4 linked regions of the Elephas maximus indicus genome follow. The protein of the gene in region 1 purifies or fractionates together with the protein of each later gene. This does not show direct contact. Links are inferred from orthologs where the notes say so. Each region holds a gene or a part of one and is shown in the gene's direction. Other genes may lie near its edges.

The links.
Region 2: the proteins of ERLIN2 (region 1) and AMFR purify together in Homo sapiens (affinity purification with western blotting; 4 studies listed by BioGRID and IntAct, with this or other methods). This does not show direct contact. The link is inferred for Elephas maximus indicus from reciprocal best matches to the Homo sapiens genes ERLIN2 and AMFR.
Region 3: the proteins of ERLIN2 (region 1) and RNF185 purify together in Homo sapiens (affinity purification with mass spectrometry; 5 studies listed by BioGRID and IntAct, with this or other methods). This does not show direct contact. The link is inferred for Elephas maximus indicus from reciprocal best matches to the Homo sapiens genes ERLIN2 and RNF185.
Region 4: the proteins of ERLIN2 (region 1) and TMEM259 purify together in Homo sapiens (affinity purification with mass spectrometry; 3 studies listed by BioGRID and IntAct, with this or other methods). This does not show direct contact. The link is inferred for Elephas maximus indicus from reciprocal best matches to the Homo sapiens genes ERLIN2 and TMEM259.

What each region holds. Positions count from the first base shown.
Region 1 is NC_064840.1:62,937,307-62,944,849, reverse strand, and holds the start of ERLIN2 (erlin-2), read left to right. Parts: upstream 1-4,524; 5' UTR 4,525-4,628; intron 4,629-4,637; exon of another isoform or gene 4,638-4,976; intron 4,977-5,364; exon of another isoform or gene 5,365-5,653; intron 5,654-5,864; exon of another isoform or gene 5,865-5,880; 5' UTR 5,881-5,895; coding exon 5,896-6,002; intron 6,003-7,318; coding exon 7,319-7,400; intron 7,401-7,543. UniProt on the Homo sapiens protein: Component of the ERLIN1/ERLIN2 complex which mediates the endoplasmic reticulum-associated degradation (ERAD) of inositol 1,4,5-trisphosphate receptors (IP3Rs) such as ITPR1.
Region 2 is NC_064839.1:23,462,095-23,469,533, reverse strand, and holds the start of AMFR (E3 ubiquitin-protein ligase AMFR), read left to right. Parts: upstream 1-4,423; 5' UTR 4,424-4,576; coding exon 4,577-4,822; intron 4,823-7,439. UniProt on the Homo sapiens protein: E3 ubiquitin-protein ligase that mediates the polyubiquitination of lysine and cysteine residues on target proteins, such as CD3D, CYP3A4, CFTR, INSIG1, SOAT2/ACAT2 and APOB for proteasomal degradation.
Region 3 is NC_064840.1:25,069,368-25,077,301, reverse strand, and holds the start of RNF185 (E3 ubiquitin-protein ligase RNF185), read left to right. Parts: upstream 1-4,918; 5' UTR 4,919-5,089; intron 5,090-7,934. UniProt on the Homo sapiens protein: E3 ubiquitin-protein ligase that regulates selective mitochondrial autophagy by mediating 'Lys-63'-linked polyubiquitination of BNIP1.
Region 4 is NC_064821.1:739,075-746,337, reverse strand, and holds the start of TMEM259 (membralin), read left to right. Parts: upstream 1-4,247; 5' UTR 4,248-4,407; coding exon 4,408-4,632; intron 4,633-7,251; coding exon 7,252-7,263. UniProt on the Homo sapiens protein: May have a role in the ERAD pathway required for clearance of misfolded proteins in the endoplasmic reticulum (ER). Promotes survival of motor neurons, probably by protecting against ER stress.

The sequences.
Region 1 (7,543 bases):
GTAGGCTGAGGCTAAAGAAGTGGTAGAAAAGAACAAGGTAAAGATAGAGAAGATAATTGAAGGCTCTGGGTCCCTGAGGAAAGAGGATCCAGCAGGAGCAAGATTAAGAATCCAGGTGGAAAAAGGCAACGTGCATTGCCTTATCCACCGAGATTTACATATCAAGTGCTAAGGTATCTCTTTGTCTATGGCAAAAAGTCATGTATCAATGATATAGAGAGATGTACAGATAAATGTATGCACATGAAGTTCCATAAACTCTTATTAAAAATTCCTACTGTTGTTAGCGATTTAAGGTTGGAACGTTGGAGATGGGATTGTCAAGGGACAGGTCACGCCACGCAAAATAGAGCAAGTCAAAGTTCAGACTAACAGGACTGTTGGTAAGTTTCCCAGGGTAAAGAGGTACTCTTTCTCATCATCCCTCAAGCACACTTTGGACCGTGGCCATTCCCCTCTCTGAGACTTCCTCCCCTTAGCCCGCTGTTTCTACATGAGTAAAATAAATGGGTTGGATTAAAATCACAAGGAACAACCTAAACATCCATCTACAGGTGAATGGATAAACAAATTACATATACATACAGCAGAACATTACACTCAGCAATAAAAAGGAATGAACTACTGATACACTCAACACCATGGATGAATCTCAAAATCATTATTCTGGCAGGAAAAGGGCCAAACCAAAAAAACAAGTACATGCTGTTTAATTCCATTTATATAAAAGTCTATAAAATGCCAAGTTTTCTGTAGTGAGAGCAAGCAGATCAGTGGTTGCTTGGGAATGGGGGAGGGGGTCAAAGAGAGGGGCGTGAGGGAGCGATTACAAAGAGGCATGAGAATGTTTGGGGGCATGATGGATTTGCTCATTAACTTGGTTGTGGTGATGGTCTCACAGGTATACACATATGTCAAAACTTAATTGTATACTTTGTGCAGTTTATTGTATGGCAATTATACCTCGACAAAGCTGTAACAAAAATCTAATCACAAAATGATCTTTAGGTGGCTTACAACTGACTTCCAACTCTCTTTTTTTTTTTTCATCATTATTCCTCTCTGATCCCTTCACCCAACTTCCCTGAAGGAACATCATTGTTGTTATTGTTGTTGTGTGCCATCCAGTCTATTTCAACTCATGGTGATCCCATAGGACAGAGTAGAACTTCCCCATAGCATTTTCAAGGCTGCAATCTTTATGGGAGATTTTTTTAATCTTTACGGGAGCAGATCGCCAGTCTTTTCTCCCACAGAGTTGCTGGGTTCGAACCACAGACCTTCTGGTTAGCAGCTGAGTGCTTAGCCACTGCACCACCAGGGCTCCTTAAAGAAATATCATTCACTCCAAGAAGGCAGCAATCCTGGTTTTACCAACTGAAAGCAAGAGGGGAAGGTTCTATGTAATCCTCCTAATAATTAAGGATATAACCCTTCAGTCCTCTTTCCCAAGCTCACCAAAATCTTTCTGGGATCAAATGCCCTGAAGGATGACCTCTATTCTTCACTTTAGGCCCAAAATAGAGAAAAAGGAAAAATCAAAATCAAACAAAAACTTTTTTTCAGCAACTTCCAGCCTTGTAATACAAAGAACTGAAGCCAAATACTTTATCTGGTTCCTTTGGGGTTAACTTTGGTGTTAACAAAAAAGGACTGTAACTAGGTGTAACTGTGTAAGAAGGGGGTCTCTTCCCTCTTTGGAGCAGCAGCACTTCAACAATTAGTTTAATAAGAAAACTAAAACAAAAGCAATCCAGAGACAGAGAGAGGTGGATTACTTATTGTTGTTAGGTACCGTTGAGACAATTCCGACTCATAGCGACCCTATGTACAACAGAATGAAACACTGCCCAGTCCTGCACCATCCCCACAATGGTTGTTATGTTTGAGCCCATGATTGCAGCCACTGTGTCAATCCATCTGGTTAAGGGTCTTCCTCTGTTTTGCTGACCGTCTACTCTATAAGTAGTACATTACTAGGGTAGAAGCTTTTTTAACCTAGCTTCAAACTACCACTACAAAATAAACTGGCTCAATTTGAAGTTTTGCAATTTCTGACCACTGGTATACATTCCTGAAGGGTTACATCTGAAATGAATATGGCACATGTGTGTGTTTTAAGTTGACTCATTTCTCAATTGACTTACTGTGGAAAAGAAATAGATTTGGGATCATTTGAATTTCACCTTTGCTATCGACCAGCTTTGTCATCTTGGGCAATCCCTTTTACAGATCAAGAAACTGAGGGAGAGATAGGTTACTTTCAAGGTCACACAGCTAAGAAGAGGTGGAATCCAGGATTCAAGCCCAGGCAGTCTGGCTTTGGAAGCCCTGTACTTAACCACTAGTCTATACTGCAAGTTGCTAGAAGATGAATTTTTAAATACTTTTTCTGTTAAACTGGAAACCCTGGTGGCGTAGTAGTTAAGTGCTACGGCTGCGAACCAAAGGGTCAGCAGTTCAAATCCACCAGGCGCTCCTTGGAAACTCTATGGGGCAGTTCTACTCTGTCCTATAGGGTCGCTATGAGTCGGAATCCACTCAACAGCACTGGGTTTGGTTTTTGGTTCTTGGTTTCTGTTAAACTAATCACCACAGACTTCTCTGCTTGGTGACTTTGGATACTGAGTCATAACGATCACAGGTCTCTTAAGGAAGGGACTTTCAGAAGTGTTAGATCATCATCTAGTGAAGTACACGCCCTGCCTTTAGGCAAAGCCACAATGAAACACTCAGGCGTAGGACAAGCTTCTTGAGAACAAAGTCCCACAACTTCCTCTCAAGTTCATTCCAAAGCTTAACAGTCAGAAATTCTTAAATTAAATCTACTTGAAATCCTTTATGCCTCAGGCTAAGCACCATTCCTTGGATTGATAGATCCCAGTGTAACCATTTCTCTAACTCATTCACTCAGCTATTAAATAAACATGTATTAAGCACACTCAGCTAAGCTAAATCACTGAACCTTGAGAGAAAAAGCTCTCAGGTTTTGATAGGGTCGGTCAGCTTATAGGCTGTGTTTGCCAGGGACGGATAGGGTTCAGAAAGGTGAGAGTAGAAAAGGCGGCCTTCCAGAAAAGGAGGTGGGTACAGGGTTCGCAGACAGCACCATCCAGTCTACTTGTGGGCTTAACCATATAATGCTTAAACATCCCAACACAAGCTCACCTAAAGCTAACCCAGAGGGAGAGAATGGGTCAATTCCAAGAGCCATGATGCCCGGAAAACCTAACGTTCCTTTTTCTGAACCCTAAATCTATCTAGAAGTTCCTGGGTGATGTAAACGGTTAACGCACTTGGCTGCTAACCAAAAGGCTGGAGGTTCAAATCCATTCAGAGATACCTTGGAAGAAAAGCCTGGTGATCTACTTCCAAAAATCAGTCATTGAAAACCCTATGGGGGAAAAAATAAAGCCATGTGGAGCATAGTTTCACTCTGACATACCGTGAGACAGAACTGACTAAATAACAATTGCTTTTTAAATCTGCCCAACAACACCAGCTTGCTATCCTCCCTGAAAAAACTTTTTATTTACTGAGGCTGTAATTATGGGGAGTTAACCTTTTCTTCTGCAGCCAAAATAACTTTAGTAGTTGAATGAGAAATGCTTCCATTTGGTGCTACCGAGCAGAGAAGGATGAGGATGACGTCATGGCCCTTAGACTAGGAGACACAAAGTCTAGGTTCTGGTCCTCTTCCATTTTGTCTTCACCCCGTATTTATTCAGCACCTAAGCACAGGGATGCTGAGGAGAACAGTTCCTGCTCTCAGGGAGTTTACAGTCTATCCAGGGAGAAGACCAAGTGCACAAGGCGCCCTACACCGTTGGGAGTTAGGCTCGAGATGTCAAGGTAGAGCAATGGAGGCTTTCATGGACTGTCACACCTCCACCCTCCCACCTCCGCACGTCACTGAACTTGTTATATTCCCTTGATTAAAACGGGGATAATTCCTGCTTAATCTACTTTATGGTACTATCCCAACTCTGGAAGCTCAAAAAGACCTCAAAAGGCCAAAGCTCCCAGAAAAGCATAAAGAGCAATTCAAAGTAGAAATTGTTGATTGGCGACATAATGGTGCTAATCTGCATACTTAAAAAACTGTTTCTTCCAGCTGGGCAATGGGAGGGGGACCAAGCAAAAGGCTAGAGCGGTTGCAACTCTCTATTAATGGCTCCGAAAAAAACAAACAGGTGCCCCCCCAAAGTGGCTTGTCCTAATATGGAGGGGAACCTGGAGAATTCGCCAAAGTCAAAACCTCAGGAAGTGACACCCTTGATCTCAAGCCTACGCACCCACAGCCCCACGCGTCCTCCTTCAGGCTCACCCTCCAGGCGCTCCTCAACCCCGCCCCACCACCAAAGGCCTGACGGAGCCCTGGGACGGCCCGGGCCGAGTCGCGGGCGCTCCCTGGTGGCCATAGGCGGACACTGACCACCAAGAGCCCGAGGGGCGGGGCGGGGAGGACGAACTAGGGAGCGAGGGGAAGGGGGCGTGGTCTTACGCGTGAGCTGATGGCGTCATCGGAGCGACGGGCCCGGAAGGAAGTAGTGAGCTGAGGGGTGTGGCGGTTTTCTGCGGTTGCACGGGGGTTCGGACGAGTACGGAGCGCCTGGAGGGACATCCGGGTACGCCGCCCCCGCCCCGTCTCAGTGCGCGCTCTGGGCCTCGTTACCTCTCCTGGCTCGAGCTGATCTGCGATCTTCCCGGCCTCCGCCCCAGCACACTCTCTCGTTCAGCCAGCCCACTACTGGAGCTCGAAAGAGACCCTTTCCCCGCCGTCCCCTCCCCGCTAGCCCCCAGGCGGGGCTAAGCGGAGGCACTTGGCGCCCCGGCCCGACCCAGGGTGCCAGGGCCTCTCTGGGAGGAGCGCGGAAAGGGGCGCGAGGTGGGGCGGGTGGCCTTGGAGAGACCTCGGGGAGGGAAAGCATTTGCAGAAAGGACGCAGCTGCGAATCTGCAGCTGGGACCACCACGGTAAAATAAACGCCTCGCAGACTGCGCCCGAATTATGTTAGACCCCAAAGGCAGAATCCACGTCCTGCGCGAGTAGGCCCAAACATGCAAGAATGTGAACTTTGCTGTCGGTCACCATAGATTTTTCAGATCAGTGTTCAGGGGCGAGCTTCTAGAGGCCAACTCTTTCACTTCCTGGCGCCTGACCAGTTGAACCCAGGACCCCAGAGTCTCTTGGACTCGGGAACTCCCCTTTCTTATGTAACCAAGAGTTTGGGGACCTATCAGGTGCAAAGTGCCAGTCAAGTATATATGGAAGGGAGTGTGGCCGCTGTCTTGTTCGCAGTCCTGTCCCATGTAAGGCCAAAAGAATGACTGGGAAAGTGAACGAAAGGCCGGAGAATCCTACCTTGGAACTCTGCTCGCGTGCTGTCTCTGCCACTCCAGCATCTGAAAGGAGTAAATAATGGTTGTCTCTGAAATGGCAGGCAATTAGGGTTGGGAGGCTCTGACCAGAATTACATGGCCACAACTGCCTGTCATTTGACATCCTCTGTAATTTCGTCCAACGTACTGCAGCTGCCTCTCTTCCTCTTTTTTAGCATGGGTGGCTCCATTGACAGCACGTTGGTGTTCACAGGAAGAGAAGGCTGTGTTCTGAACACTTCCCAACTGGCACTGGTTTTCCCTTGCAGGGCAGCGTCTGGAGCCACTGCCTCTTCAAAGAGATGTGGAGTATAATCCTATGGTTAAGGAATGTGAATGTTGACTGAGAACAAGGATGAAGAGAGTTGTAGATCTAGCCACGTGCTCATACTGCGCCAGGCTGGGTGTGAGCCACTGTCACGGTACTCTGTGAGGTACTCTTGCTGTCAGCTTTCCTCCTGCATACCAGACCACACACGTTTTCCTGTCTTTTCCCTAGGATAAAGGTTCACTGATGGCTCAACTGGGAGCAGTTGTGGCGGTGACTGCCAGTTTCTTTTGTGCATCTCTCTTCTCGGCTGTGCACAAGATAGAAGAGGGGCATATTGGGGTATATTACAGGTAAGGCAGAGGCAGGTAGAAGCTTCCACTTCCTGATAAATGGCTCCCTTTCCTAGTCACCATCTGGCAGACTTTGCTGAATATTTGTGTTTATATTTTGTTGAAGAAGGGAGTCTTTTGAATTGAACTTTTGTGTCAGTGATGAGATGGGGAAATATATATGTGTGTAAATGTAAAACTTTGCTTAACATTCTAAGATGACACCACAGAATGGTGATTGATATATGCATATATGGATTTAAAGAAAAAACCTAAAGGAGACCAGTGCTCCTTGCAGACCATCCCTGAAATATTGTTTCTCCTATATCCCTCTGGGATTCTTGGCTTCACGCTACTAGGTCACTTCCACCAAGGCCAGCTGAGTCCCAGTTCTTGATGGCAAACTGAGAAGATAGCCTACTCTGCTAATTTAAAGAATGGGTACTTGGGGACTACTCTTTAAAATTAACATTTCTGGAAAAATGAAAGGACCTGCAGGTTGATTAATACCAATCAAGGCAAGTCCCAGGGTGGAAGGTCTTACAGTAAACATTTCACAGTGTGTTTTATTGCTCTTAAAAAAAAAAAAAGTGTCTTTGACTTCACAATGTAAAACCAAAGAAACAGTCATAAATCATGGATTGCCTTCCTCTTAGTAATCTTTATAACCAAGTTTTTTGCTTTTAAGTTTTTATGAACCTCTTCCGTGTGCCCTGTGATGCTTATTTCTGGATTGCCAATAGCAAGTTCCAAAACTGATTGGTTTCCCCCCTCCATCTGCTTACACATGTACCAAAAAAAAAAAAGCTTTTAATTTTGTTAATCATTTACATACAACTTGATTAGAAAAGTAGCTCTGCTGCCCACCGCCCAAAAAAATTTTTTTAATTGATTTTAAAGGGTAGTTAAAATTATTCTGTGCTTTCTCATGCCACTGGACTCTAACGTTAGTGCAGTTAATTGATAATTACATGACTGAATTTAACTGCCCTAACAAATTGCCAAAAGCTCAGTGGGTATGACAGAGTAAACCAGACTTCCTCTCTCAGCCTAAGTATAGCCAGAGATTCTTCCGTCTTTATCCCACGTAGCCTGTGTGCCTATTTTTCTCCTTGCAAAATGAATAATGATTTTCCGTTTTACCATCAGGCTTCCTAGAATATGAGGGTAGAGCTGAGCGAAAGACAGGGATCTGTGCATATGGCTCTGGCATGTGCCACTTTAGATTAAATGTTTATGGGGTGGAAGAGATAGTTGGCTCAAGTGGTATTGATTCCTTAAGTATCTAAGAGAGCCTTCTTGCTAACGGAGCCTGCCTCTCTCTTCCTCCTCTGCAGAGGCGGTGCCCTGCTGACTTCCACCAGTGGCCCTGGTTTCCATCTCATGCTCCCTTTCATCACATCATATAAGTCTGTGCAGGTACACTTGGCTTGTGTGGTGTGGCTGGATGACTGCAGATTCAGGGTGGTAACTACTACATGATTTGGAATTATTTAGCCACTGAATGAGTACAATGCCTTTTCGGGGAATGATTTAAAGATTGATTTTTTTTTTAATTCATT
Region 2 (7,439 bases), on another chromosome or scaffold:
ACCAAACCAAACCCATTGCTGTCCAGTCAATTCTGACTCATAGCGACACCATAGGACAGAGTAGAACTGCCCCATACGGTTTCCAAGGAGCACCTGTTGATTTCACACTGCCAACATTTTGGTTAGCAGCCGTAGCTCTTAACCGCTATGCCACCAGGGTTTCCTTCTGCCCTGGATTCCACATTTTCTTTCATCATGATTTTTACCCCTTCCTGCCTTCTCATCTGCTTTTGGCTAAGTACTGCTCTTTTGATGTCGTAATTGATTTTTCCAAGGAGTACATTCCTCCTGGGTATTTTGTTTATCTTATGTGCTTGTCTATTGTTTAGCTGGGAGGTGGTCTCCAGGAATGGCTTCCGTTCCAGAAGGGTGTTCTTAGGGCCATACTCTCTGGAGTTCCTCCAGTCTCTGGCAGACCAAGAAGCCTGGTCTTTTTTGTGAATTTGATTTTTGTTCTACAATTTTCGGCTCTGTCGTGGACACTCTGTTGTGATCTCAGTTGTTTGATTCCTTGACTGCTGATTCCTTGGGCGTCGATTGTGAATCCAAGTAAAATGAAATCCTTGACAGCTTCAATATTTTCTCCATCTTATCATGATGTTGCTTATTGGTCCAGTTGTGAGGATTTTTGTTTTCTTTATGTTGAGTTGTAATCTATACTGAAGGCAGTAGTCTTTGATCTTCATCAGTAAGTGCTTCAAGTCCTCTTTGTTTTCAGCAAGCCAGGCGTGTCATCTGCAAAGTGCAGGTTATTAATGAGTCTTCCTTCAATTGTGATGCCCCATTCTTCTTCATATAGTCCAACTTCTTGGATTATTTGCTCAGCATACAGATTGAATAGGTATGGTGAAAGGATATGAACCTGACACACACCTTTCCTGATTTAAACCACGCAGTATCCCCTCGTTCTATCTGAATGACTGCCTCTTGATCTAGGTACAGGTTCCTCATGAGCACAATTAAGTGTTCTGGAATTCCCATTCTTTGCCATGTTATCCATAATTTGTTATGGTCCATACAGTTGAATGCCTTTGCATAGTCAATAAAACACAGGTAAACATCCTTCTGGTATTCTCTGCTTTCAGCCAGGACCCATCTGACAGCAGTGATATCCCTGGTTCCATGTCTTCTTCTGAAACCAGCCTGAATTTCTGGCCGTTCCCTGTCGATATACTGCTACAGCTTCTTTTGAATGATCTTCAGCAAAATTTTACTTGTGTGTGATGTTAATGATATTGTTTGATAATTTCTGCATTCTGTTGGATCCCCTTTCTTTGGAATAGGCACAAATATTGATCTCTTCCATATTTATGCAAGTATAGGGTGTAGTATTTTGTAACTGCCTATATTTTGACTTGGATTGAATATGGATCGCCTGTTAGTGTGGTTTAAACATTATCATGGCTCAGATCTTGACCTATAAAGTAGAACACTTTCTTCCCTGGAAAATTACTATCATCGTTTTTCCAAAATAAAGCTTTTCTTTATCAAGAAAATAGAACATTTAGCATTTTAATCAAATGGCCTTGGATAGACAACCAAAAGGAACTGGAGTCTAATATTCCTGTAGATCTCGTATAAAATATGTGTGTGTATAAATTGACCTCCAGTAAAACCAAACTGTGAGGTCCCATCATAGACCCTTTAGTAAAACGTTTCTAAAAGTTTCAAAGTGGTTGGTAACAACCTTGAGAGACCTTCTTTGGTATCTAATTAATAGACTCTTAGACTATTTAGCCTGAAAGAGATCTTACAAATAATTTAGTCCTTTCCTCTTGATTGAGCAAATATTTACTGAGGACCTACCAGTGGCATCACTAGGATTGGTGTTACCCAGTGTGGTAACTCATGGTGCTACCCCCCACCTCCTCCTGTACTAGGCTGTACAGAATCCTTTGTAATGTTTTTGTACTAATGTTACTTGTAAATCATAATTCCTGTATATCACTCCTTCTTTTCCTTTAATTACTGCTTCTTTCTCAAAAAAATTATTGATATAATTTCACAAATACTATAGCTAGAACACTGGAAAATTTGACAAAATCAGTAACTATAAAAACATCGGCAGGAATGAAAACGACAGCAGTGCTTATAGCGTGGAGATGAAACTACATGATTTGAAGCATCATTGTACCCGGATAATAATGGCAACTCTGACTGAAGGGCATTAACCTGTTGCTGTTGAGTCGATTCCAACTCATAGCAACCCTATAGGACAGAGTAGAACTGACCCATAGAGTTCCAAGGAGCGCTGCGTGGATTTGAACTGGCAACCTTTTGGTTAGCAGCCATAGCTCTTAACCACTATGCCACCAGGGTTTCCAAAGGGCATTAGAAAGTTCAAAAAGTCAATTAGCATAGAATTCTAGCCTTGCAGGTATATTGATACATACATGTAAACTGAGCTTAACAAAAAGTTTTTTTTGTGGTTTAGCTATGGGGAATTTTTTTTTTTTTTTTAACTTTTATTGTGCTTTAAGTGAAAGTTTACAAATCAAGTCAGTCTCTCATAGGAAAATTTATATACACCTTGCTGTATACTCCTAGTTGCTCTCCCCCTAATGGGACAGCACACTCCTTCTCTCCACCCTGTTTCCGTGTCCATTCAGCCAGCTTCTGCCCCCCTCTGCCTTCTTATCTCTCCTCCAGACAGGAGCTGCCCACATAGTCTCATGCGTCTACTTGATCCAAGAAGCTCACTCCTCACCAGTACCATTTTTACAGGGATATTTTTATAAAAAATTTCTGCTGAAACAATGCACAAAAATTTTATAGACGGTCATTTTGGTGTCACCCCTCTGAGGGACAGTGACACCCAGGTACAGGTGGCACCTCCTGCACCCACCTAGACCTACTCTGGGCCAAGCATTATTTGAGGAATAAGACTCCAAGATAATGAAAAAAAATTTTTTGTAACTTTTTTTTTCTTGTAATAGCTTTATTGAGATATACTTTATGTATTGGGATAATTCATCATTTAAAGTGTACAATACAATGGTTTTTCATATATTCACAAAGTTGGACAACCATCACCACAATCAATTTCAGAACATTTTCATCACCTCAAAAAGAAACTCTGTATCCTTTAGCCGTCACCCCACAGCACCAGTCACCTATATCCCCCAGCCCTAAGCAACCACTAACCTACTTTGTTTCTATAGATTTGCCTATACTGGACATTTCATATTAATGGAATCATACAATATGTGGCCTTCTGTGTCTGGCTTCTTTTATTAGCATGATGTTTTCAAGGTTTATCAATCTCAATTGTTAAACCTTGAAAATTATGATTTACAAATAACATGTATCAGTACTTCATTCTTTTTTAAGGCAAATAATATTCCATTGCATGGCTATACCAAATAACCCAGGTGGCGCAGTGGTTAAGCACTCAGCTGCTGGCTGAAATGTTGGCTGTTCAAACCCACCATTGGCTTTGCCAGAGAAAAGACCTGGGGATCCGCTCAGGTAAAGATTACAGCCTAGGAAACCCTTCCTGTGCTATAGGGCCATTATGAGTTGGAATAGATGACACAGGGCAACATGGATATAGCACCCTTTGTTTACCCGGTCATCAGTTGATGGACTTTCAGGTTGTCCATGTATCATGAATAAGGACTTTTGATTATTAGAGCTGCTGCTGCTGTGAACATGTGTACAGATTTTGTGTGGTTGGTATGTTTTCATTTCTTTTGGGTATATACCTAAGAGTGGAACTGCTGCAACAAATGATAACTTTATGTTTAACTTTTTAAGGAATTGCCAGACTGTTTTTCAAAGTAGCTGCACCATTTTACATTCCCACCAGCAGTGTATGAAGGGACACATTTTTATTTCGTGCTAAATCAGGTTCGTTTTAGATTGTGATAGAGACTATAATACTGGCAAGTGGCAGAAATTTAACACAATTTATTGCAGAGAAATTTAAGACTACAGATTAATACTCTTGCTTTTGTGATCACGGTCTCTATTATTCCCCAAGCACTGCCTCCTCTTTCAGGCACCTGGGAAGTCTAGGCCCACAGGGGTACCAAGGGCAAGTGGCTGCAGGCCTGGTGGCCGGGCTTTCCCGCGTCCCGAGGGGCAGCCACGCGGCCTGGGCTGGGCCGCCCAGTCAGCGCCCCAGGGCCTGAGTCACGGCCTTGGCTCGGACCGGGGCTGGTGTCCTGCACGCCCGCCGGCCCGGCCGAGCCGGTGACTCGGTGGAGGATGAAGCTGGGTGCCGGCTCTCGGGGACCGGGCCCAGGCCCAGGCCTGGGAGGCGGCAGCGCGGCCGCGCTGGGCAGGGGGCGGGGGACGAAGCCGCGCCCCCGCGCCCGTCCGGCCCGCGCCCCGCTGGAAGCGGCAGCCCGCCCCGAGCCCGCCGACGCTCTTCTGCGCCGGCAGGGGCAGCAGCGGGAGCGGCGCGGGGCGGAGCCGAGCGGCGCGAACGGCCGGGAGAGGCCCGGCCTGGCCTGGCGCGGCGGCAGCGGCGGCGGGAGCGACGCCAGAGGCCGCGGGCGCCTTTCGCGAGGCCGCCGCAGAAGCCCGGCCGCAGCGCGGGGAGGCCTGGGGTCTGGAGGCCGCCGCTGCCGCCATGCCGCTGCTCTTCCTCGAGCGCTTCCCCTGGCCCAGCCTCCGTACCTACACGGGCCTCAGCGGCCTGGCCCTGCTCGGCACCATCGTCAGCGCCTACCGCGCCCTCAGCCAGCCCGAGGCCGAGGCCGGGCCCGGGCCCGGGCCCGGCGAGTCGGAGCAGCCCGCTCCCAGCCGGGCGGACGCCGGGGGCCCCCGGGCCCGCGACGTGGCCCAGTACCTACTCTCGGACAGCCTCTTCGTCTGGGTGAGCGAGGCTGCCACTGGCCCCGCAGAGGTGGACGGGCCAAGCGGGGCGGGGGCGCCCCGTCACCCATTATCCATGGGGGGCGTGGCCTCCCCACGGGACCACCGTGTGCGGGGGCCTGGGGCCGGGGGACCGAGACTGCGCTCGCGGAAGGAGAGGGTTGAGGGGTTGGAGTGGGCCCGCGGTGGGCAGAAGATGGGGTGAGGGCGTGAGGAGGGGGCGGCCCTAGGAAGTTGGGGGCTTGAGGAAGGTGTCCAGGAGGCGTGGTGGGGGCGCGCGCGGGTCGAAGAGGCCAGGCCCGGGGCAGGGGAGACAGCGCAGGGACGGCAGGGAAGGGGTTAGGGTACTCGGGGGAGGAAGGGGTGCAAGTAAAAGGTGGGGACAGGGTGGGGTATCTGAGGGACCCTGGGGAAGGAAATCAGAAGACCTCAGGTCAGGTTCAGCGGGGAGGTGAGGATCAGGAGTCAGCTACTGGGAGCGTTAGAGTAAGTGGACAGAAGTTGAAAGGCTTTTCTGACTGGGTCTGGCATGAGTAAGTTATTAGCGGGTTTCCAGTGAAAAGGACAGGGCAAAACAAACAAACCCAAAACCCAAACCCGCTGCTGTGCAGTCGATTCCGACTCATAGCTACAAGGGATGGGAGAATTCAGAAGCTGAGTATGGGGGAATTTTAGGCATTTCGTTGTGTTTGGACATTGCTGTTGGGAGGGCGGCCGTCTCTCACAACTTTTTACTGCCACTTGGTATTTGCTCGTCTTCTTTGGGTGCTATTTATTTTAAAAAAAAAAAAAAGGACACAACTGTGCTTCGTCTCTTGCTGCCCTTACCTGATGATTCATGACGGTTTTCTTTGATGTTGGAAGCAGGGTAACACAGCATTCGGGGTCAAGAGGCTGCTCTTTATTTTAACTTGGGATTTCTCCTTCTAGTGATCCATTTTAAAACAAGACTTCCAGCTTGCCTGCCAGTGCAAGATAAGCAGCATTTACAAGGCATACGTGTTTGTCTCATTTATGAAAACAGATAATTTCAGGCTGGGCAGGTCAACTGTATTTTGGCTAAAGAATTTTGCTTCCACCTGGACTTTGAATGCCTGTTATATAAACTCCACAGTGATCAGAAAAGTGACTCCAAGATTTAGTCACTGGGGGTTTTACATCCGCGTTTTGGATCTTGTCTCTTTCTCAGGTTCCCATTTGGGCTTGAGTTGTTGTGTGCTGTCGGGTGGATTTGGACTCATAGAGACTCCATGTGACAGGGTAGAATTGCCCCGTAGGATTTTCTAGGCTGTAATCTTTTAGGGAAGGGAAGCAGATAGTCGGGTCTTTCTCCCACGGAGCCACTGGTTGAGTTCAAACCACCAACCTTTTCCTTAGCAGCCAAGTGCTTAACCTTTTGAGGTTGAAAGTAGCCTGTAAATGACTGAGGGATTAATATTCCAGGCTGATAGAATGATATACAACTCATTTGTTATAATTAATCCCACTGTGCTTCATCAGGAAGCAGTGGGATTTATGAATTCTGGGGGCTGTGGAATGAAGTCTCCTGGTCCTTCTGATGTAGAGATTACTAGAAGGTGATGAAGGGTGAAGTTCCATTCCTCTACGGCTGTGTAAAGCTGCCAAAGACTGGAGAAGAGAGAGAACTCATCTCTTGCTCTCAAATCTGCTTTTGCATTTGAGTTGGCAGGTAAACAATTTGAAGTGAAGAGTGCCTTTGACAAATGTTAAGATTATAATGTAGTCTTTGATATATTTTTTAAGTCAGAGATATAAAAAAGCCTTTGAGAAAGAACTGCTATTGTACTTATATAACAACCACTAGTATTGTTTAATGATTTTTTTTTCCTTTAGGAGTTTCTTCTTACAAAGCCGGTGTTCAGATTCCAAGGTTAATACCTCTTCATCAAATACTATGTAAAATCTGTTGATTTTTCTGTGAAAATTATTTTTAAGAAAATTTCTTTCTTCTCAGCTTTTTCAGTAGCAGTGTTGCCTCACGTAACCTTATCATTTCTTCCTATCTGTTGATAATACCTTCATTTCTCAGTTGATCTTCTTAACCGTTTTCCACCTTTTTTCTTTGGTTTTCACGTGTTCATGCTGGCCTTCTGTGGTTTCTGAGACTCTGCATGTGTGCTCTGTAAGTTTTCCTCCTTACCCATTTAGTTGCTGCTTTAGCAGCCAAGTAGGGTTCACAAGGTCAAAAGCCTTTGGTGGCCTGACAGATAACATTATTGAGTAAATATGTGGTGGGTCCGTTGTGGAAATGGATCCTTTTGGTGCCCTGCCTGAGGCATTCAGATTCAGTTTTTTATAAAACCCTGCCCACTAAGGCCAAAGGAGAGAAAACAAAAAACAGCTCCTTCTGCAAATCCTGCAAGCTATTATTTTACATATTGGCATCTCTCTACAAGTTATCTCTGTAGAGTACAATTTTGGAATGATACAAATCTATTAGCATCTTAAGGGGTCCAGGTGGCACAGTTGTTAAAGTGCTTGGCTGCTAACCCAAAGGCCAGTGGTTCGAACCCACCAGCTGCTCCACAGGAGAAAGATTTAGCAGTCTGCTTCCCTAACTGTTACAGCCTGGGGAAACCCTGTGGGGCAATTCTCTG
Region 3 (7,934 bases), about 38 Mb from region 1:
CAACAACAACAACAACAATGCCTACCATATAGGTCTTTATGCATACCATTTCATCTTTGACGACTTCCAATTTTCCCAGATTCATACATTGTACATTCCACGTTGTGGTTATTAATGGATATTTGCAGCTGTTTCTTCTCATTTTGAGTTATGCCACATCAGCAAATGAAGGTCTTGAAAGCTTTACTGCAACATCATTAAGGTCGACACTACTTTGAGGAGGCAGTTCTTCCCCAGTCGTATTTTGAGTGTCTTCCAAGCTGAGGCGCTCATCGTCCGGCACTATATCAAACAATGTTCTGCTGCTGTTCATAAGGTTTTCATTGGCCAATTTTTTCAGAAGTAGACTGCCAGGTCCTTCTTCACAGCCTTAGTCTGGAAGCTCTGCTAAAACCTATCCACCATGGGTGACTGCTGGTATTTGAAATATTGGTGGCATAGCTTCCAGCATCACAGCAACACGCAAGCCACCACAGAACTACATACTGACAGACATTCATTGCAGATACCTTTTTCAACAACATAAACAGTGACTATACATGTGGATCTCACTGGATGGAAAACACAGGAACCAAATCAACCATATCTGCGGAAAGAGACCATGGAAAAGCTTAGTATCATCAGTCATAACAAGGCCACAGGCTGACTTCAGAACAGACCATCAGTTGCTCATATGCAAGTTCAAGTTGAAGCTGAAGAAAATTAAAACAAGTCTGCAAAAGCCAAAATGCAACTTTAAGTATATCCCACCTGAATTTGGAGACCATTTCAAGAACAGATTCGACGTGTTGAACACTAATGACCAAAGACCAGACAAGCTATAGGATGACATCAAGTACATCATACATGATGAAAGCAAAAGGTCATTAAAAAGACAGGGAAGAAAGAAAAGACCAAAATGGATATCAGGAGAGACTCTGAAACTTGCTCTTGGATGTAGAGTAGTTAAAGGGAATGGAAAAAAATGATGAAGTAAAAAAGCTGAACAGAATATTTCAAAGGGCAGCTTGAGAAGATAAAGTATTATATTGACATGTGCAAAGACCTGAAGTTAAAAAAGCGAAAGGGAAGAACATGCTCAGCATTTCTCAAGCTGAAAGAGCTGAAGAAAAAATTCAAAACTGAAGTTCCAATTTTGAAGAGCTTGTCTGCTAACCAAAAGGTCAGCAGGCGGAACCACCAGCCACTCCTTGGAAACCCTATAGGGCAGGCCTACTCTGTCCTTTCAGGTTGCTATGAGTCGGAATCAACCCGGTGGCAACAGGTTTGTTTTTATGGGTGTCATGGATTGAATTGTGTCCCCCCAAAATATCTGTCAGCTTGGCTAGGTCATGATTCCCAGTATCATATAATTGTCTATTGTCATCTGCTGTGATTTCCCTATGTGTTGTAAATTCCTATCACTGTGATGTAATGAGATGGATTAGTGCCAGCTATACTGATGAGAGCTACATGATTACATAGTATCTTAAGCCAATCTCTTTTGAAATATCAAAGAGAAAAACGAGCAGAGAGACACAGGGACCTCATACCACCAAGAAAGCAGTGCCAGGAACAGAGTGCATCCTTTGGACCTGGGGTTCCTGCATGGAGAAGCTCCTAGTCTGGGGAAGATTGATGACAAGAGCCTTCCTCCAGAGCCAAGAAGAGAAAGCCTTCCTCTGGAGCCGATACCCTGAATTTGAACTTCTAGCCTACTAGACTGCAAGAGAATAAATTTATCTTTTTTGAAGCCATCCACTTGTGGTATTTCTCTTTTGCATCATTAAATGTCCAAGACAATGGGGAAAATATTGAATGCTGCAGAAGGCATCAAGAGCAGATGGAGGAATACACAGAGTCACTGTACCAAAAAGCTTTGGTTGACATTTAACCATTTCAGGAGGCAGCATGTGATCAAGAAACAATGGTATTGAAGGAAGAAGTCAAAGCTGCACTGAAAGCACTGGTGAAAAACAAGGCTCCGGGAATTAATGGACTATGAAGTGAGATGTTTCAGCAAACAAATGCAGTGCTAGAGATGCTCACTCTTCTATCCAGGAAATATGGAAGACAGCTACCTAGCCAACCAGCTAGAAGAGATCCATATTTGTGCCCATTCCAAAGAAAAGTGATCCAACAGAATGTGGAGAGTGTCAAAGAATATCATTAATATCACACACAAGGAAAATTTTGCTGAAGATCATTAAAAAATGGTTACAGCAGTACATTAACAGGGAACTGCCAGAAATTCAAGCTGGATTCAAAAGAGGACATGGAATGAGGGATATCATTGCTGATGTCAGGAGGATCTTGGCTGAAAGCAGAGAATACCAGGAAGATGTTTACCTGTGTTTTATTGACTATGTAAAGGCATTCAACCGTGTGGATCATAACAAATTATGGATAATATTGCAAGGATTGGAAATTCCAGGACAGTTAATTGTACTCATGTGGAACTTGTACATAGACCAAGAGGCAGTTGTTCAAACAGAACAAGGGGATACTTCGTGTTTTAAAATCAAGAAAGGTGTGTCTCAGGGTGTATCCTTTCACCATACTTATTCAATCTGTATACTGAGCAAATCATTGGAAAAGCTGGACTAGATGAAGAAGTACACAGCATTAACACGGGAGGAAGACTCATTAACAACTTGCAATATGCAGATGATACAACCTTGCTTGCTGAAAGCAGAGGACTTGAAGTACTTACTGATGAAGATCAAAGACTACAGCCTTCAGTATGAATTATACCTCAACATAAAGAAAATAAAAGTCTTGACAACTGGACAAGTAAGCAACATCATGACAAACAGAGAAAATATCAAAGTTGTCAAGGATTTCATTTTACTCGGATCCACAATCAACACCCATGGAAGCAGCAGTTGAGAAATCAAAAGACGCATTGCACTGGGCAAATCTGCTGTAAAAGACCTCTCTAAAGTGTTGAAAAGCAAAAAATGTCACTTTGAGGACTAAAGTGTGGCTGACCCAAGCCGTGGTATTTCCAATCACCTCATATGCATGTGAAAATTGGACAATGAATAGGAATAAAGAAGAAGAATTGATGCCTTTGGTTTACGGTGTTGGCAAAGAATACTGAACATACCATGGGCTGCCAGAAGAATGAACAAATCTGTCTTGTAAGAAGTACAGCCAGAATGCTCCTTAGAAGTGAAGAATGATAGACTGTATCAGGAGGGATCAGTCCCTGGAGAAGGACGTCATTCTTGGTAAGGCAGAGGGTCAGCAAAAAAGAGGAATACTCTCAACGAGATGGATTGACACATTAGCTTCAACAAGGGGCTCAAACATAACGATGAACGTGAGGATGGCGCAGAACTGTGCAATGTTTTGTTCTGGTCCATTACTTGTGTGATTACAAGTTAGTTTAACATCTTTTCCACTAGGCATAAAAGCACATTATCCTGTCTCTCACTGCATCGCCAGTGCCTGGCACAGGAACTGGCATGTGGAAAGCAATAATCAAAGTTTAATAGATAAATAAATGAATTGGCAAGGACCCAGCCACCTCCCCCCACATTTTTTTGTAAATTTTAATTTTTGTATCATTTCAAACTTACAGAAAAGTTGCAAAAACTATATAAGGAACTCCCATACAAGCTTTACCTAGATTCACCAAAAGTTTGTTTTGTCTCATTTTCTTAATCATTCTCTATTTTTACATATATGCATTTTTTCTAAATCATTTGAAATTAAGTTGGAGAAACTGTGTCTATTTACTCCTGAATACTTCCGTGAGTATTTCCTAAGGACATTCTCTTAACATAACTACAGTACAGTGATCAAGTTCCGAAAATTTAACGTTGAAAAAATACATATTAATAGCTAACCCATAATCCATATTAAAATCTCATCACCTGTTCCAGTGTGGTCCGTTAAAGCTATCCCCTGCCCCCACCCCCAGTCCAGGGTCCAATTTAGAATTACACATCACATTTAGTTGTCGTTTGTTTTTAGTCTCTTTAAACTGGAACAGTTTCACAGCCTTTCTCTGTCTGTAATGACACTGACATTTTTGAAGAGTACATGTTACTTATTTTGTAGAATCTCCCTCAATGTGCGTTTATCTAATGCTTCCTCTTAAGGTTCAAGTTAGACATTTTTGGCAGAAGAGATGTTCTGTCCTTCTCAGTGCATTGTTTTCAGAGGCACGTGATCTCTACTTGAACTCCTGGTAATCTTAACGTCCATTACTTTGATCATTTGTTCCACTGTGTCAACCAAAAACCAAAACCGTTGTCGTGGAGTCCATTCCGACTCATAGCAACCCTACAGGACAGAGTAGAATTGCCCCATAGTGTTTCCAGGGAGCACCTGGTGGATTGAAACTGCCGACCTTTTGATTAGCAGCCAAACTCTTAATCACTACGCCACCCGGGTTTCTTCCCACTAGGTTACACCTCTGTAAAACTAATACTTTCCTTTTGTAGTTAATAAGTAATTTATGGGAGACACTTTTACAGTCTAAATAACCTATTCCTTTAGGATATTTGTTGGTTCTCTATCATGTTTATTAGTTGGCATTCTACTATAGAGTTTTACCGTCTTCTCCATTTATTTATTTATTCACTTCTTTATGTCAGCAAAGACTCATGAATTACTATTTTGTTCAATTAGCTATATTCCATTACTATCATTATGTATTTTGATGCTAAAATTGTCCCAATTTGGCCAGTGGGATCCTCTTCGAGTTTGCTTGTGTCCTTTGACATATGCCTATTATTCTAAGAACACCTCCTTAAATTCTGATGGAACAAGCTCATTCCACACTTTCCTTGCCCTAGCTCTGGTTATCAGTCTCTTCTTCAAAGAACCCCTACTCTAGCGCTTCGAAAAGCTAACCGCTTCCCGTCCGCAGGCGGAACCTTAGATCCGGGTCCTAGACCCGAGAACGGCGCAGCGGACCAACCTTTTCCGGTCGCGGCCGGAAGTCCTTAAGAGGGGCGGCTCCGAGTCAGGTGACTAGAGTTCGCGTAGGTGGGGTCGAAGGTCTTGCCACACGGACTCCTTGGCCGGTTGACTGGCAGGTCAGCCGACAGGCCGACAGGGTGGAGTGGCCTAGGCGGCGTTAGGTGCGCGGAGGCAGGTACGTGAGGGTCTGGGGTGGCGGGCCTGGCGAGGCTGGGAGCCGGGGACGTGGGACCGGGTTCTGCCTTCCTGGGGCCCACGGGCTGTGGCACCTGAGACCCGGAACTCGGAGGCAACAAGCACGGCCATGCCCTGGGCCTTCTGCCTCGGAAGGAAATGGGGCTAGCGTCTTGATTTTCCGTCCCGAAGAAGGGGAGAGACTCCCTCCAGCGCTCCCTTCCAGACAGGGACTGACCCTAACTCCCTTCGCGCCCTTCCACCCCCGCACGGGACCTCCTGTCTCACCGTGGGGTTGCTTTTAACGCGTTTGCCCTAGTATAGAGGCCGAGGCTAGGAAACGTGGTGAACAGAGTTGGACTGGGAGTCAGAGACCTGTGTTGGAGACTTCGCCACCTACAGTCAGTTGTGTGTTCTGGGCCAAATCTCCTTCCTGTGCTGGGCCTCGGCTTTCTCATTTGTAAAACGGGGTACTACTCGTCAAAATATGATTCTCACACCATCTGCTTCAAAATCCCCCGGGATGCGTGTTTTAAAATGCAGATTCCTGGGCCTCACATAAAACCTCTGGTTTAGAATCTGGATAAGAGTCGTGGGAATCCTATACGTACTCATGTTTGAAACCCACTAATATTAGGTGCTTTCTTGCTGGGAGTACAAGGATTCATTCTTCGCTTTGAGGCAGCTAGAGCCTGTTCAGGATCTTGAAAGAATTGTAATGGTTAGCCCAGCAAAGAGTGCACTGGAAGGGAGGAAGTGTCGTTAAAAAGCAAAAGGTTTTATGTCAAGGAGGGCTTCCACTTCTTTGGGACTGAAGGAGGCAGAACTAGTATCAGGAAGAGAAGATTTTGACTTAATAGAAGCACTTAATGGAAGAACCATCAGAGGTGAGCAGCAATGGAATAGATTGCCTCAAGAGGTAGTGACTCCCTGTTCAGGAGGTGTGTAGGCATTAGGTGGATGTTTTTTCCACCTTGAAAGTCTCTGATTCTAAGTAGTTATTTTGACCCTTTCTGGTGCTGACTCTACCCTCAAAGTACATGTGACTTCTTTTTTCTGCCTCTTTTTCTTGGATGACCCCCAACCCTGGGAGTAAAGCCAGTGGGTCTGGCCTTATGTAATCTATGCCTGCTTATTCTTTGCACCATCCCTCTTTTCAGGGACTTTGGAATGGCTCAACATCTCATAGGGGTTCCTTAAATGTTTGTTGAACAAATAACTAAGCAGTTCCCCATCTCCATCGTTTAATAGTTTATTTTCTTAGGACACCTTGGAAGTGCCCCCTTAAGATTTTGTGTTTGATCAGGTAAAGCCAGTGAACTCTTTGGGTTACAGAGTGGAGAAGTCTCAGTTGGAAGGACACTTTGAGATTGTGCAGGCCAGCCTTCTCCTCCCTCAGACATAAATCCTTCCTTAATCCTCTCACCAGCAGTGTGTGTTGTATAGATGTTGTGCAGACAGAGAGTTTTTGCAGTCTATTGGCTAACTTTTCATCCAGCATATGAAACCTGTCCTCTTACGGACTTAACCGGCCAGTTCATCGTCGCTAGTGTGTAATCTGCAGATAGTACTTCTGATATAACTTTAGTTTTCTAATCGGACACCAGAGTTCCTTATTTTGTGATCTGCAGAATTCAGAGTAGTTCACTTTTTAAAAGTCTGTTAGAGTGGTTAAGAATGCATAAGTTGCCCTATGGAGCCGAGAATCCATGTTACGACTCAATTCTGCTGACATGCAAAAAAAGAAAAGGTCGGAGTTGAGCCAAGACTTCCTGCCTGTGTTTATCTGCTTGTTTGTGTGTGTTTCCCATGTTTAAAAACAGTTGTGAAATGCTTGTTCAGATACTATCCAGGTGCCAGGTGAAATGATCTTAATTTGGTGGTTGGGAGATAAGTGTTTAAAACTTCTTAATCTAAAGGTTTCCTTTTTAAAGAAGTACCTAAATTAACATTTTCATGAGTGTGCTCTTCAGGTCACTAATCTGAAGATATGCTGCTGAAAAGGTGGTTCTGTGGTAAATATAAGTTCGGGAAAAGCTACGTACTATTATCCCTTCTTGAAATTTCTCAGTTTATAGTACCATATTAAAGGCACTGAGAAGTTTTGCAATAAAGAAATGTGTTTAACCTTGTTTAATACTGTCAAACTTATTTGAGTAAAACACTCTTGCTTTTTAAATGAAGCACACATTAGCCAGTTCTCACCTAGACCAGCGGTATGCAAACTACAGCCTGTGGGACAAATGTGACCCCACTGTTTTTGCATGGCCTGTGAGCTAAAAATGGTTTTTACATTTTTAAATGGTGGGGAATAAATCAAAAGAAGAATAATATTTCATGATATGTGAAAATTATAGGAAAATGAGGTATCAGTGTCCATAAATAAAAGTTTTCCTGGAACACAGCCCCTCCCATTCATTTATATATTGCCTTTGATTTCTTTAATGCTACAACAGCAGAGTTGAGCAGTGGTCACAAAGACCATACAGCCCACAAAGTTTAAAGTATTTTCTATATGGCCATTTCCAGAAAAAAAATTGATGACTGCTGACCTGTATCAGGTACAATTTTTTTAAAGTCTTTATTTTGAAATAATTTTAGATTTAAAAAAAGTTGCAAAAATAATACACAAATTTTTTGTATACCCTTTACCCAGCTTCCTACATAACCATAATAAAATTATTTAAACAAGGAAATTGACATCAGTACACTCCTAGCTAATTTATAGACCTTATTCTAATTTTTTCTATTCCGAAGTACAGTGCTATCAGTGAAAGGATAATATCCATGTGCCTATAAGAAAGACCAGTTAATACGATGATTGTTCAAATTTACGCATCAGCCAG
Region 4 (7,263 bases), on another chromosome or scaffold:
TCGTGTCTGGCTTCTCTCACTGGGCATCACATTTTCAGGGTTCATCCACACTGTAGCGTGTATCAGAGCTTCACTCCTTTTAATGGCTGAATAAATCTTCCATCGTGTGGATGGACCACACTGTGTTTACCCGTCATCTATGAATGGACACTTGGGTTGTTTCCACCCTTTGGCTCCTGTAAACGGTGCTGCTGTGAACCTTGGTGTACAGGGATCTGTTTGCCTCCCTGCTTTCAACTAATGGTGACTTTTTAAGGGTGTTGGGTGCACAGTTTGCATTTGTGGTGAAGTTTAACTTGTTCTTGGAGGCTCTGTGTTCCTGGCAAGTGGAAGTAAGGTTTACAGCTACACCATCTGATATGGCAGCCTCTTGCCCCATTTGGCTATTTAAATCCACTGCCGTTGAATCCATTCCAACTCATAGCGACCCCGTAGGACTGTCTTAATTATCTAGGACTGCTATAACAGAAATACCACAAGTGGATGGCTTTAACAAACAGAAGTTTATTCTCTTACGGTCTAGGAGGCTGGAAGTCTGAATTCAGGGTACCAGCTCCGGGGCAAGACTTTCTCTCTCTGTCACCTCTGGAGGAAGGTCCTTGTCATCCATCTTCTCCTGGTCTAGGAGCTTCTCAGCACAGGAATCTCTGGTCCAGAAGACTCACTCTGCTCCTGGCACTACTTTCTTGGTGGTATGAGATCCCCCGTCTCTCTGCTCACTTCTCTCTTTTATATCTCAGAAGAGATTGGTTTAAAACACAACGTAATCTTGTAGATTGAGTCCTGCCTCATTAACATAACTGCCTCTAATCCTACTTCATTAACATCATAGAGGCAGAATTTACAACACACAGGAAAATCACATCAGATGACAAAATGGCGGCCAGCTACACAATACTGGGAATTATGGCCTAACCAAGTTGACACACATTTTGGGGGACACATTTCAATCCATGACAAGGACAGCGTGGAACTGCTCCATAGGGTTTCCAAAGCTGAAATCTTTATGGAAGCAGGCTGCCACATCTTTCTCCAGAGGGCTTAAACCACCGACCCTCTGGTTAGCAGCCGAGCGCTTGACCACTGCACCACCAGGGCTCCTTATATGGCTATTAAAACTTGAATTAAGTTAGAAAAAAATAAGTTACATTCAAAACTAAGCTCCTCAGTCACACTGGCCACATTTTGCAGGCTCAGGAGCCCCAGGTGGCCACTGATCTTATTGGCACTGGGCAGAGGCTTGACTGGCCTTCCCCGGAGGCCTGGCAGCTGTCCTCTGCCTCACATGCAAGGCCCCCAGCGCCCCACAGTGAGGCTGGGCTTCCTCTCCTCGTCAAGGGGATGCCCACCCAGTCTCTCCACTGGGAAAGACAATTTCTTCTCCCTTTATGATTTTTTTTTTTAATAAGCTGGGCATGATTCATAATTTTTTTTTCCTTTTATTGTGCTTCAAGTGCAAGTTTACAATTCAAATCAGTTTCTCAAACAAAAACTTATACACATTGTAATGTGACCCTAGTTGTTCTCCCTACAACATGACAGCACACCCTCCCTCTCCACTCTATTGATTCATAATAATTTTAAGGGGAAAAACAAAACCAGTTGCTTTCCAGTTGACCTGACTCATGGCGACCCCACATGTGTGAGTAGAGCTGTGCTCCACAAGGTTTTCAATGGCTGGTTTTTCAAAAGTAGATCACCAAGCCTCTCTTCTGAGGTGCCTCTGGGTGGATTTGAACCACCAACCTTTCAGTTAGTAGCTGAGCACTTAGCGAACACCTACTGTATGCCAGGCCCTGTACAAGGCCTGTGTAACAGGAAGAGAACAGCTTTGGCTTTCTTGTCTTTGTAGGGGAGGGCCCCATCCATCCGTCTGTCCATCTGTGTCCAGTGAGGAGGCACAGGTAATTATGAAATCAGCAGCTAGGTCTGGAAGGTTCTCTCCAGCCTCCAGGCCACAGCTGGAAAGTTTCCTCCCTCCCTGACAACTCCCCCACCCCCGCCCATGTCCCCACCTCTCTCAGGGGCCTCTGTGCCCATCACAGCGTGAAGCTCACTGTCAGGAGGCAGACATCACCTTGTCTGTCTCCCTGCCAGTCTCTCGGCCCACAGCCACTACTGTGAGCCCAGAGCCCAGCACAGGCCCTGGGAGTCTGAAAGTTCATTGCCCAGAACCCTTTCCGTTTTTCTTTTCAGGCCTGGGTGCCTAACCCAGAGTCCAGCTCTCCACTAAAACGTCTTTGCTTTCTGCCAGCCTGTCCCTCTCCTCCCCCTGCCCTTCCAGGCTTCCTGCTGTGGCCAAATCTGCCTTGCTTTGGGGCGCTTGAGCACCAGACACACAGTCCCTTGCCATCGAGTGGATTCAAACTCATAGCGACCTCGTAGGACAGAGCAGAACTGCCCCATAGGGTTTCCAAGGTTGTAAATCTTTACAGAAGCCAACTGCCACAGTCTCCCGCAGAGCGGCTGGTGGGTTCCAACTGCTGATGTTTCCGTTAGCAGCGGAGCTCTTAACCACTGCCTACCAGGGCTCCTCAGATACACAGTGCTATTGCTAGGTGCCCTGGAGTAGGTTCCAACTTCCAGCGACCCTGTGCGCAACAGAACGAAATACTGCCCCGGCCTGCGCTGCCCGCATGATCATTGTTAAGTTTGAGCCCATTGTTGCAGCCGCTGTTCGTCAATCCATTTTGTTGAGGTCTTCCTCTTTTTTGCTGACCCTCTACTTTACCAAGCATGATGTCCTTCTCTAGGGACTGATCCCTCCTGACCACATGTCCAAAGTATGTGAGACAAAGCCTCACCGTCCTTGCTTCCAAGGAGCACTCTGGTTGTACTTCTTCCAAGACAGACTTATTCATTCTTCTTGTAGTCCATGGTATATTCAATATTCCTAGCCAACACTGTAATTCAAAGGCGTTGCTTCTTCTGTCTTCCTTACTCATTGTCCAGCTTTCGCATGCATATGGGGCAAGTGAAAATATCATAGCTTGGGTCAGGCAGTCACCATAGTCTTCAACGTGACATCTTTGCTTTTTAACTCTTAAGAGTTTTTTTTTGTAGCAGATTTGCCCAATGCATTACGTTGTTTGATTTCCCGACTGCTGCTTCCATGGGTGTTATTTGTGAATTCAAATAAAATGAAATCCTTGAAAACGTCAATCTTTTCTCCATTTATCGTGATGGTGCTTATTGTTCCGTTGTGAGGATTTTTGTTTTCTTTATGAACACACAGTAAGCGATCCTCATTTACTTGGTGCAGTAATATACTCGGGTGCTAGGAGGCACCCAGCACCGGGCCCGGGGCCCCGTGGGCCGTCCAAGGCTGCGAGGCGCGGTCAGGAGTGGGGTGCTGGTGGAGGGGCAGGTACACGTCCCACTCCGAGGCAGCCAAGAGGAGCGCGTGTCCGCAGCTCGAACTCCTTCCTGGGTTTGGAGCACTTTGCAGTCGCCAGGTGCACACAGTTTGCAGCGGGACACACGCTGGTCCCGCCAGACCGGGCCGGGGGTCTGGGGAGCCAGGGTCTGACTGTGCAGGGGCGAGATGGACGCTGACGCAGCCCGACTCACAGAGGGAAAAACTAAGACAGTTGCAAGAGAGACCCCCCAACCCGAAATCTGGGAGCTCTTAAATCCGTGCATGCAGCAGGCATTCGATAAATACCCCCAGACGCGCACGGTTTCTAAGGACACAGGTGGCGGGGCATAGCCGGGCCCTGTCACTTCACGGGCAGGGTCCACTCTGGCTGGCTGCCGCCGTCCTGGAAAAGAAAATATGGAACGCTTCACGAATTTGCGTGTCATCCTTGCGCAGGGGCCATGCTAATCTTCTCTGTATCGTTCCAATTTTAGTATATGTGCTGCCGAAGCGAGCACAAGCAGGTGCCACCCCGAATCCCTATTTATAGGCTAAGACCAGATAACTTTTACAGTTATGCCTAACTATATACACGTTATATCTTAAGTATAATCTTCCACAGCCCTATATTAAACAATATCTCCCCTAGTTAAATTTACTTTGACTGTGTTTGATCACGTTAAAATCCTCAGACGTTAGCCTATTTTACCGCCCAAGCGTAGCCAGCAGCCGCGGAGCCTTATGGGGCACTATATGCAAAAATTCTGCTCGGATGCAGCCCCGCCCCCCGACGCCGCCGAGCGTAGCGGCCGAGCGACGGGGCGGGGCCGCCGCGGACGGTCCTCCGGCATCCCAGTGTGCCCCGCGGACGCCGGGGGCGCTCTTGCCCGGCGCAGCGACTCTCTGGCACCAGCAGGGCCGCGGCTGGACGAGGAGGCGGAAGATGGCGGCCGCGGCCGGGGGGTTGTAAGGATCGCGGCGACAGGCCGATGGCGGCCGGGGCGCGCCCTCGGGGATCCGCGGAGCGTTAGGGCGCGACGCTGGGCGGCATGTCGGAGCACGCGGCGCCCGGGGCCCCGGGGCCCGGGCCCAACGGCGGTGGCGGTGGCCCGGCCCCCGCGCGCGGGCCTCGCACCCCCAACCTGAACCCCAACCCGCTCATCAACGTGCGCGACCGGCTCTTCCACGCGCTGTTTTTCAAGATGGCAGTGACCTACTCGCGGCTTTTCCCGCCCGCCTTCCGCCGCCTCTTCGAATTCTTCGTGTTGCTCAAGGTGACCGCGGCCCCCGACCCCGACCCCTGACCCCGATCCCTTCGGCCGACCTGTGACCCCGACCCCTGATCCTCGCCGAGACGCCGAACCCCTCCTGCTCTGAGGCCTGGACCCCTGACTCCACGGATTCGGGACCCTCCCCCGAACCTGCGATCGCTGAGCCTAGTCGCTGACCCCAATTCCTGGGCCCCATCCTGGTCTGAGACTCCCACCCTGGAAGGCACGAGCCGCACCCTACAGGACCCCCCTGATCCCAACCCCAGAATTCTCACCCCGGCCCCGGCCTCCTAGGGGCCCCTTCCTGCCCTCCAACGCCTGGGGTCCTCAGCCTGGGAGGACGGCCCTCCCAATCACCATCCAGCCCTGACCTGCCCTAAACCCCAGTCCTGGACTTTGCCAGGAACCTGGTGCCTCAGGACACACCCCCGCCACCTTCGTCTCTTCTCCTGCCTGCACCCTGATGCCCTCTCCCTGGAGCCCGCAGGAGAATGTAGCTTAGTTAGGTCACTGGCCGGACTTAGTCGGAGTTATGTGGGCACCGCGCCTTTCTTGTGGAGTCCTGCTCCTGTGGGTCTGGTTGAACAGGCTCTCCTCCCTCCTTGCTGTCCAAGGCCCTGACCCTTTCCTGTCCCCCCTCCGATGGACAGAGGGCTCCGCTGTGAAGGCAGGTTCTGGGGACCACCATCGGTACTGAGAAGGCCAACTTACTTGGCAGATCCTGCTCAGCGGGAGCCACGGCCTGAGACCCGGAGCTGGCCCAGGTCGCTGAGCCACCCAGGCTGGAGCTCCAGGGGCGCTGCTTGAGCAGGGGATCTCGGTTGTCACTAGACATTTCTGAGGAAGCAACGAAATGGCCGTTTTCGTTTCCGTTGATGGCTGGTGGGTGAGGGGCTGACCCGAGGAGTCCACAGTGGACTCCAGTTGGGAGCTGCGGCTCTGGGGTTTGGTGAAAGAGGCTCATGGAGCCTTGTGGGTCGACAGACTTGGATGGGGTCCCAGCCGGGAGGAGGCACCCCAAGTTCTCCTATGTGAGATGGGACTCCTGTGACTGAGTATTGGTCAGTGGCATTTTGCCGTCAGGCCGACTGGCAGAGGCTCTTCTCAGGGTGTGTGGCTTCCTCAGGGAGGAGAACCCTGGCCCTGGGTTGACACTGAGGGTGGCTGGGGATCCAGACAGGACCCTCTGCCTCAGTGGCCGGAGCACTGAGCGTCCCCCGAGGTCATCCTCCCTGAAGACACATATGTGGCCCTGGCTGCATCACTTCCTGATTTGAGGTGTGTCAGAGGTCAGGGCTAATCTGTCTCACCTGTGTGCAAGGGGCTGAATGGAGCCAGGGCTGAAAGACCCCTGCCAGTGCCCAGACGTGCTCTGGCAGGGAGGCTTCGCGACCGTAGGCAGTCTCCTGACCCACCACCTCCTTTCGCCTGAGTGCTGGAATGCGTGGTTCTGTTCCTTGTGAACCCTTCCCCCGGCACCCGTGACCTGAAGGCTGTGCTGGGCTCCAGAAAGCTTCAGCCTCGTCTTCTTGCCCTCCCAGGGTCAGGCATGCTCGTTGCAGTGGCTGTGGCCTCCCTTTGCAGTCATGTCTTGCCGGGGGGTGGGCAGGCCTTGGGCAGTTTTTAGGAAACAGCCATACAGTGCCCACTGCTGGAGTGTGGGAGAGGTGGAGCCGGAGGGTCTGAGAAGACCCCTCTGCCCTCAGCCCCGACCCACCACTGGCCTCCACAGCTGTGGGGCCAGAGTGAGGTCGCTGGGTAAGCAGAGCAGTGGGCACTGGGAGGCAGGCTGGGAAAGACCTGCCAGGTGGCAAAGCATCCACGGTGCCCTGCGGCTCGGGCTGGCAGCATCAGGGACGGCTTCTTGGAGGAGGAGCGGGGAGAGTGTCAGCTGCTTGGGTTGGGCTCTGGACACACCATGAGCAGCAGACCAGCAGAAATCACCAGTGTCCTCTGGGGACAGCATCACCTGGTGAGAGCTGCTGCTGTCCCATTTTACAGGCGAGAAAACCATGCCTCATGGGGCAGGGCTGCTAGCCATAGGTGCAACCAGTCTGGGAGGTTCCCTGTGCTCTTGGTGGTCCCAGCTGACTGCCAGGCCTGGGCAGTGGGGACAGAGGGTGCCTGGCTCCACAGGGAGGTTTCTTTTTAGCCGGTGCCATCAGGGGAGCTCTGAGGCCAGTTGGAGTGGCTCAGGGAGTTGCAATAGGACCAGTGGGCTTCCTGGAGGTGGCAGCTCCTAGCCTAAGCCACTGCAGGACCGCAGACATTAAGTGGCGTTGGTATGCCCGGCTAGTGGGTTTCATCTGCTGGGGTCAGGCCCAGCCTGGTCTCTCCCTGGGTGGGGGGTCCTGCACAGTCCCCAAGAGGGTGCCATGGGACTTGTCTGGCTGCAGGCATTGGTGGGGTGGGGCTGTGTTGGGGCACCCCTCACCTCTGGCTCCACCCGGTCGGTACTCAGCTAATGTGTGAGGGGATGGCCAGGTGCTATTTGTGCTGCAGCCAGGAGCCACCCCACTTCTGAGGGTCTTCCCGGTCCGGGCCCTGCTGACGGGGTTCCTCCTGGGTTCCAGGCGGGATGGCGGGTCTCGGTGGCCCCCGCTGACCCTGTGCCCTTCCCAGGCCCTGCTGGTG